2 linked regions of the Arabidopsis thaliana genome follow. The protein of the gene in region 1 purifies or fractionates together with the protein of each later gene. This does not show direct contact. Each region holds a gene or a part of one and is shown on either strand. Other genes may lie near its edges.

Evidence for each region. The genes of interacting proteins can lie anywhere in the genome.
Region 2: the proteins of GIP1 (region 1) and TUBG1 purify together in Arabidopsis thaliana (affinity purification with western blotting; 2 studies listed by BioGRID, with this or other methods). This does not show direct contact.

Annotation. Positions count from the first base shown.
Region 1 is NC_003075.7:6,037,379-6,040,775, forward strand, and holds GIP1 (AtGCP3 interacting protein 1), read left to right. Parts: upstream 1-1,676; 5' UTR 1,677-1,828; exon of another isoform or gene 1,829-2,316; 5' UTR 2,317-2,327; coding exon 2,328-2,543; 3' UTR 2,544-2,547; intron 2,548-2,657; 3' UTR 2,658-2,848; downstream 2,849-3,397. Other genes in the region: CRP4 (ECA1 gametogenesis related family protein), read left to right, coding at 191-559. UniProt on the Arabidopsis thaliana protein: Required for gamma-tubulin complex recruitment to the microtubule organizing centers (MTOCs). During mitosis, modulates gamma-tubulin complex localization, spindle stability and chromosomal segregation. Necessary for gametophyte development and embryogenesis.
Region 2 is NC_003074.8:22,811,549-22,816,895, reverse strand, and holds TUBG1 (gamma-tubulin), read left to right. Parts: upstream 1-1,679; 5' UTR 1,680-1,884; coding exon 1,885-2,013; intron 2,014-2,188; coding exon 2,189-2,501; intron 2,502-2,605; coding exon 2,606-3,006; intron 3,007-3,144; coding exon 3,145-3,198; intron 3,199-3,272; coding exon 3,273-3,377; intron 3,378-3,479; coding exon 3,480-3,554; intron 3,555-3,646; coding exon 3,647-3,691; intron 3,692-3,826; coding exon 3,827-3,955; intron 3,956-4,045; coding exon 4,046-4,150; intron 4,151-4,226; coding exon 4,227-4,295; 3' UTR 4,296-4,814; downstream 4,815-5,347. Other genes in the region: AT3G61660 (uncharacterized protein), read right to left, coding at 355-774. UniProt on the Arabidopsis thaliana protein: Tubulin is the major constituent of microtubules. The gamma chain is found at microtubule organizing centers (MTOC) such as the spindle poles, suggesting that it is involved in the minus-end nucleation of microtubule assembly.

The DNA.
Region 1 (3,397 bases):
TATAAAACTGTTAATCAAATACCTAATTAAACCATTCAAAGATGTTATTAAAATAATTAATATCACAGTTTTACATTTCATTCCATATAAATAAGCAGGAATCTTATTGTTGTTCATCAATCAAAAACAAACAGAGCATTAAGCATATATTTGGCTATACTAAGGCTTTTTTATTTCTCAGTTTCTCATTATGCCTATCAAAAATGTGTTTTCACTCTTAGTGGTTCTATGCATCATAGTTTCTGTAAATGCTCAGTTACCTCAGTTTCCGGCTCCGTTTCTTTTTCCATTTTCGTTTCAACCGATTCCTGGAATGCCAGGATTACCTGATATAACGAAATGTTGGTCATCCGTGATGGATATTCCTGAATGCATTGCAGAGATTTCTCAATCCATTTTTATTGGCAAATTCAGTAATTTAGGTTCTGCTTGTTGCAAAGCATTTTTGGACGCTGAAGCCAACTGCATACCAAAAATTCCACTTATTCCGCTTTTCCCTCCGATGCTAAAAGAACAATGTTCAAGAATTGCCGGTGTAACTCCTCCTACACCGAAATAGAGTTTTAAATTATTATTTTTTAAATAGATAATTTTTTTTCCAATTTATTTCTTACAATTTTAGCTTACGCTACATGTTATACTCCAAAAAAATATCATATAAAGTAAAAACATTTGAGAAGTTGTATTTGGGTTCAATATTTACTCATTCTTCAATTCTAATGAATAACAGCTTGAAACATCGATTCTATAATTAACTTTGTCTTACAATGTTTCAAAACTTGGAATTATATTAGATAATTCCCTTCTAAATAGACAGTTGTGAGAATTAAATAATTTTTTACGAGATTTAAATTTTACATAGTAATCTGTATTTTCTAAATACAAATTTTAATCTTACACATTCTATAGATTCTATATAACATGCTTTTATTGATTACATATAATAAGGTATTTCTCAGAGTACAACACAAAGATAAGACAAAGACGACTGACGACATACAACATCAAGAAAAAGACGGACGCAACGGAGCCTCTAGATGCATATTGTTGTAAACAAATTGAACGATATAATTGAGGGAAAAAAATAAACTTAAGAAAATAAAAGAATAAACATATTTAAGTTATTAGAAAATATTAAAACACATATTAATATTTTTCAAAACAAAATAAAGAACTTATACTTCTGTTTTGAATATATCAATTTTAATAGAATTAGTTCATTAGTTCAATAGTTTAGTATATTAAATAAAAAATTTGAATATAGAAACATTATTTTTGACTTTATGTATATATTTCTTTTTCAATAAGGTTAGAAAAAATTTCTATTTATGTTTTTAAATATAAAAAAATTTGATTTGACATGTGCGAATATCTTATTAATAAATTTGACACGTGAGTTAATAATTTTGAAAACTCATTTCTTATATAATGAAATAAGCATTTGTTCGAGAAAAAAATATTAAAAACAAACATCTTCTATATGATTTATCTCAATTATAAAAAATCTGTTTTTTTCAGATGTTAAAAAAGAAAAACAATTGTGTCAGAGTTATATTATTTTCTTTTCATTAGTATAATTCATTAAAAAAAATTAACACTATCAATCTTAGTGTCGGAGTTATATTTCAAACATATTTTTGTTTAGAATATTAATATGATTATTGAAAGACAATAAACTTTTTTTCTTTTGACATAACACAATTTACATTTATTGAAAGACCTCCAAGTCCTTTCCCTTCGTCTCCCACTTCTCACTTCACACTGTGAGTCTGCGACTATCTCCAAGACCAAGCTTCATACTTTATTTTTGCAAATTCCGTTTCTAAACGTAAGTTTTCTTATCTTCGTTTCTATCAGATTACTCCTTAATTCTTAGTCTCGAAATAAAAAATTTGAAATTTATTCGATGTTATGCAAATTGCCGCCGACATAAAAACCCTAATTTCAATCTCATTTTTCATCTGAATTACATTTCTTTTGAATTGAATGTTTCTGGGTTGTGTTTTGGTTTTGGTATTAACTGATCTATTAGACTAATCCTTGTTCACCTATCAGATAATATTATTGGGCTCTGAAACAAATTTGACTCACTTTTGTGTGTGTGAGCATTGTATCTTCACTACAAAGCTCTAGCTTGAAATGTTGTTGTGTAATTTATAAGACTCTAGTTTCTAACTTCTTATGTCAAAATCACCTAAGAGTCTTTGACTTGGTTCTTGTTAGATCATAGTTCACTTACTTTTGTCTAATTTGGTTTGGTAGAAACTCTATAATTCACTAACTACCTTAGGACTTTAAAATTGTGGAGTTTAACAGGTGTGATCAGTATGGATGAGGAGGCATCTCGGACAGCAAGAGAGTCACTAGAGCTTGTGTTTCGCATGTCAAACATCTTGGACACGGGTTTGGACCGGCATACTTTGTCAGTTCTCATAGCTCTTTGTGATCTTGGTGTTAACCCTGAAGCTCTAGCTACTGTTGTGAAAGAGCTTCGTCGCGAGTCTATCCCCGATTCTGTCACAACCACACCATCTATACACTGATCAGGTATTGAGAATTTTCTCAGTCTAATGATGATTGACGAGTCTATGCCCAAGTCTACCTCTTTCTGTTGTTTTCAGATCTAACATATCGACCGGTCGAAATTTATGTTGCAGGTATGCAATGGATTATACAAGTATTGTGGTTGGTATGTGAATCTTGTTACTACTTTTTTTGTATCATTTAAACAAAATTTGTATGGATGAATTATAACTTCTTTTATTTGTATGAACCGTTATTTGAAAGCCAAAGTAGCAGAATGCAAAAAAAAGTATATAATTGTAATTTTATCTCTCAAAAGCTCATAGAAAATTCAGTGATCATGTGTCACTAAAGCAGAATGCAAAAGGAATTTGGGATCATCTGATTCACAACCCCTGGAAGGTAAAAACATTCTATGTATCCCCGAAGAGGGAAATCACACTCAATCAAAATCTCTGCACACCAAATCTCCGTTTTACATTCCTTAGTATAAGTCTTCCACCGAACTATCACTCTCCTTCCTCAGGCCAGGGTTTTGTCACCGAAATAAGATACTTAGAGGACGGTTCTTCAAGTCCTCTAATCGTGAACGTGCATATATCACCGCAGACTAGTTTCGAGTTTCAGAAACCCTCGCTGTCCACCATACGTTATTCTTTGACTCTAACAAGCAAACAGTAGGGCACAAACCAATAATTTTCTCGCGAGAAAATCTTCCAGTACATTTTGTTGGCTCCCAAGTCTGTGTCTTTGGGTCGTAAACTTCTCCATAATTCTCAGCAGTGTCATAATACTTACTGCTGATGCCTCCAAACACAGATCTTACCGTCGATAACATTAAAACATGCTTCTTCTCGAGGGACATGCATCTTGG
Region 2 (5,347 bases), on another chromosome or scaffold:
ACACCCCGATGAACTGTTAGTAAAATGGCAATTGCTAAACGACTCCTATATCATTCTATCGCTATATATCTCATATTCCCCAATGTAAACGTTGATTGCATGTTGATCCACGTTTCACTCTTTGCCTAAACGTTTCAGAGACGTATGATGTGATGGATATTAAATCCATGAAATTCTTCAACTTAAACTAATTACTCTGCATTTAATCCATAAGTCAATAAAATGTATTTCCCGTTTCATTACAGTTTATTCGATTAAATTTTCAAATTAAAAAACATGAGCAAGTAATATACTTAATTATTATTTTACGAAGGATCAAACAAATACTAAAAACAGAAAAAGAAGATATGAAAATCACATCTTCGAAGAACCAGATCTTGTTGTAGAAATCCTTATCTTAGAGAGGATCCGACAAAACATATTCTTCTTCTTGTTGTTGTAATTATCGACGACAGCTTCGGTGTTTTGCTTTCTCTTCCACCATTTGGTTCCAAAAGCACCGCACAACAGTTTACCAGTCGTCGAATCAGAGGAACAACACAGATCAACGACGGTGTTGGCCCCACGATTGGCCTTTTCTTCCAGATCAGACGGTCTTCGAGAGCAGCAAACTTTTCCGGCGCCAGCAAGAGAAGGTAGAGACATGAAATGGCGTTCAATGATGTGAGTAAGAGAAACGAGCTCGTAGGAATCATAGAGTGGACTTCCACAATCCCATAGTATACGATCATCATCATCAACCATATTCTTCGTTTTCTCTGTGGTCTTTTTCATGAATGATGTTTTTGGAAAGTGGAAGTGTGTTTCTCGATGTAGATTTCTGACAGTGAGTGCGTGTCTTCTATTGAAAGTGTTTTAAGGTTTTTGTTTTCTTCCTCTAGTCTTTGTTTTTGGTCGAATGGACTTATAACAGTCAAGCTGGCGAGATTTGTTTATGTTTATTTGACGATTATTTACCTTTAATGGAGGTTTTTTTTTTTGTTGTTAATTACTCGTTAATGAATCCGGAAATTGGAGAATATAGATACACTACGAATTTGATAAAGGGAAATATGTGATTATCATTTTACCATTTTAGTTGGTTTAAAGAATGAACTCTTCCAATTTATCATTTTACCATAAAGGGAAATATGTAATTTAAATTTTTAATTTTATGTTGAATTTCAATTTAATCATAAATTTTCGTTGACTAAGTTGGTTAAGACATGTCGTTAGAAATTCTTCCAATAAAAAATCTTAGATCTTGAAAATAGATTTCCAATTTTTTTTTCTTTTTCTTCGGATTCTTGCTTCTTTTTTTAATTTAAAGTAATTTTTCGTCTCTAAGTCGACAGATAGCATCGAAAAAGAAGAATTTGTATCTCAATTAGCTTACTCAACGAGAATTCATGATTAAATTGAAAAACAACATAAAATTAAGGATTTAAATCACCATACCCAAAATTCATATTTTAAACTAACGAAAATGGTAAACTAATGATTTAAATGACATTTTTCCCATTTGATAATCAAAAAACTCTAAAAATTAATCTTAAAGTTAAAAGTTATTATTCCATCCTTTACATGCAAAATTCTTCCTTTTTAAGATTTATTGGGCTGAAGAAATACAAAACGGGCCTATAATTGGCCCAATATGAGTAAGCAGACGTTAGTTAGCTTAGCTGAGAGAGTGTGGCTTTAATTAGAGCATATGGTTTAGTGTTAATCTATGCAAAAATTTATCTTCTCCGTCCGCAAAAATTCTTTAAAGCATTGGATCGAGTTTTAAAAAGGTATCCGCGCCAGAGCTTAATTTAATCATTTTCATTTCTTCATCATTCATCATCTTCCTCACAGTCTCGAAACCCTAGTTTTGTACCCAATAACAACTTTCTGGGTTTAGAAATGCCTCGGGAGATAATTACGCTTCAGGTTGGACAATGTGGGAATCAGATCGGTATGGAGTTCTGGAAACAGCTTTGCCTCGAGCACGGTATCAGTAAAGATGGTATTCTCGAGGACTTCGCTACTCAGGTCCTTCTTCTTCTGAACCAACCAAGCCTCTCTTTATAATTAATTGTCTACTTGAATTTCTTAGGTCTTATTGATTCGAAATCGTTGTTTCTGGGTTTCTATTAATCGACAATTGAATACCCATTTGGGATTAGTGGATTAGTGGATTTTTGATGTTTTGATCTTGTTTGTGAAGGGAGGTGATAGAAAAGATGTGTTTTTTTACCAAGCGGATGACCAACACTATATCCCACGAGCTCTCCTCATTGATTTGGAGCCTAGAGTCATCAATGGTATTCAGAATGGTGATTACCGCAATCTCTATAATCACGAGAATATCTTCGTTGCTGACCATGGTGGTGGTGCTGGTAATAACTGGGCCAGTGGTTATCACCAGGGGAAGGGTGTTGAAGAGGAAATCATGGACATGATTGATCGAGAAGCTGATGGAAGTGACAGTCTTGAGGGTTTTGTTCTTTGCCACTCTATTGCTGGAGGCACTGGCTCAGGTAAATGATGAGGCTTTCTTCTTTTAGCATTCTCATGTTTTTTCACTGCTTCTTCTGATGTGAATGACTCCCTCCATCTCTCTCTCTCTTTCTTTCACATGAAGGTATGGGATCTTATTTGTTGGAGACTTTGAATGATCGCTACAGCAAGAAGTTGGTTCAGACATACAGTGTCTTTCCCAATCAGATGGAAACGAGTGACGTTGTTGTCCAGCCCTACAACTCACTTTTGACGCTTAAGCGGCTTACATTAAATGCTGATTGTGTTGTTGTCCTTGACAACACTGCTTTGGGAAGGATTGCTGTGGAGCGTCTACATCTGACAAATCCTACCTTTGCTCAAACGAATTCTCTAGTGTCTACTGTGATGTCTGCTAGCACAACAACACTGCGTTATCCAGGATACATGAATAACGACCTCGTTGGCTTGCTTGCATCTTTGATCCCAACACCAAGGTGTCACTTCCTCATGACTGGATATACACCATTGACTGTTGAGCGCCAGGTAAGATATCTCAACGAGTTTAATATCACAAAATAATTTTATGGGAAGCGATCATTGTATCTTGAACATAAATTCTACAGTGTGCAAATGGTTTTTTTGATTGATTTCCTGCTCTATTAACTGACTTGTTCTTGGCAGGCAAATGTCATTCGTAAAACTACTGTGCTGGATGTTATGAGAAGACTTCTACAGGTGAGCTGTTTGCCTTCTCCAATCTTTTTCCGAAACTTGAATCGGTTGTGCTTCTAACATGATTGTATTTGCAGACAAAAAATATCATGGTTTCGTCTTATGCTAGAAACAAAGAAGCTAGTCAGGCAAAGTATATATCAATATTGAATATAATTCAAGGAGAAGTCGATCCCACTCAGGTACTTTTACCTAGCTGTTTTTTGATCGGACACATTGAGGATGAATTGGTTATTCTTTCTTGCTGATGTAATCTGCTCTGTTATTTCGCTACTTGATACTAGGTGCATGAGAGTTTGCAGAGGATACGAGAAAGAAAGCTTGTTAATTTCATTGAGTGGGGACCTGCAAGCATACAGGTTCTAACCTAATTGTGTCTGCAAATTAGTTATTGCTTTTGGCTTCACCATGGACTTGAATCATAATTTTTTCCATATCTTACTCTCAACAGGTTGCTCTTTCCAAGAAGTCCCCATATGTTCAAACTGCCCATAGGGTAATCTTATATCACTCTATATCTATCTGTCATACTGAGAGTTGCCGCTCCTTACAGTTAATGTCTTAGGCTGCTAGTTCCTGCTTTAGAAGATTCAACAAAGACTCTTATTTTATGGTGTATTTGATATTTCAGGTCAGTGGTCTTATGTTAGCAAGCCACACTAGTATCAGGCACCTATTCAGCAAATGTTTGAGCCAATATGATAAGTTGAGGAAGAAGCAAGCTTTTCTAGACAATTACCGGAAGTTTCCCATGTTTGCTGTAAGTTGACTGCTCAAGTATAATGGCTTTGTTTGGCTGATGTTTAGTGCAACAAACCCAGCTTTGACAGTTACATGTTGATATGAACAGGACAATGATCTTTCAGAGTTTGACGAATCAAGGGACATAATTGAGAGTTTGGTAGATGAATACAAGGCCTGTGAGTCTCCAGATTACATCAAATGGGGAATGGAGGTATATAAGCTTTTCCCATCAATAATCTTACTTATGGATGAACTCGAAATGATAACTGTATCTGTGTCTGTCTCAGGACCCTGAACAGCTTATGACTGGTGAAGGCAATGCTTCAGGAGTTGTTGATCCGAAGTTGGCGTTCTGATTATTATATAAAAACAAAAACCAGAGTAAGTCGCATGAAGTTTCACTTTTAACTGAGATATTTCAGGTGATCATAGGATTACTTAAAAATGGGTTTTGGTAGGAGCAGTAGTAAGTGTTGGCACGTAAAACCTTGGAATAGTGGTATGATGTGGATGAGTTTTTTAGTCTGTTAGATGAATGTGTGTTTCCTGGGATTGAGAGCACACAAAGTTGCATCTCCTCACTCCTCAGGAGAAGGAATCTAGAATTGTAATATTTATGGGTGTTTTAGCTCATGTCTCTGTGATCGGAGTATCATGTTCTCCATGTGTGGTTAAAAGACTCGAAAACTCTAGAAAGCAAGAAGCATGTTGTGTTGATGAAGGAATTGGGTTTAATGGATTCTATTTTCTTTGTATATATGCTGTGATCTAAACTTTTACTAGTGCCGTGTTGATCATAGTAAATTCTATCGGTCAACTCTCCTTTGAGTTTCTTTTTGCATACGACGCCGTTCTGGAAGCAAATCAAACTTAACCAACAATATAAAATCATATTTATAAAAAAAAACCTTTGCAAGTTGAATTGAATTTACTTACTATATAAGAATTTAAATTTCGTGGACCTCATATTTTATAATATAATGGGATTAGGTAACAAATTACACTAATGATTTTCCAAGAAGTCGTTTTAGACGCGAGTATTTGTAAATTAGTAAGCAAATAATAAAAAGAGATGTTGACAAAACGATAAACAATCCGACATCAACTGCGATTTATTTGGCCTTATGATGAATAGATTTTACTTTTTAGATATCGAAAGTGTATGTTACTTTGTTTGTTAGCTAAGTCCTTATCTTTCTTCTTATTTTGAAACTAAGCATAATCTTACGAGTAAAAACCAAAATCTGACTAAAGACCTATAACAACACTTACTTACTAGCCGTTACATATGTTTCACTCAAAGCATAAATTTTTATAATAACAATTTGTTTTTATTCTCGTATCAATAATTTTTTTTAAAAAAAAGGGGAACAGCTTGGCGAATTATTCCATTTTTTTAATTTAAAAG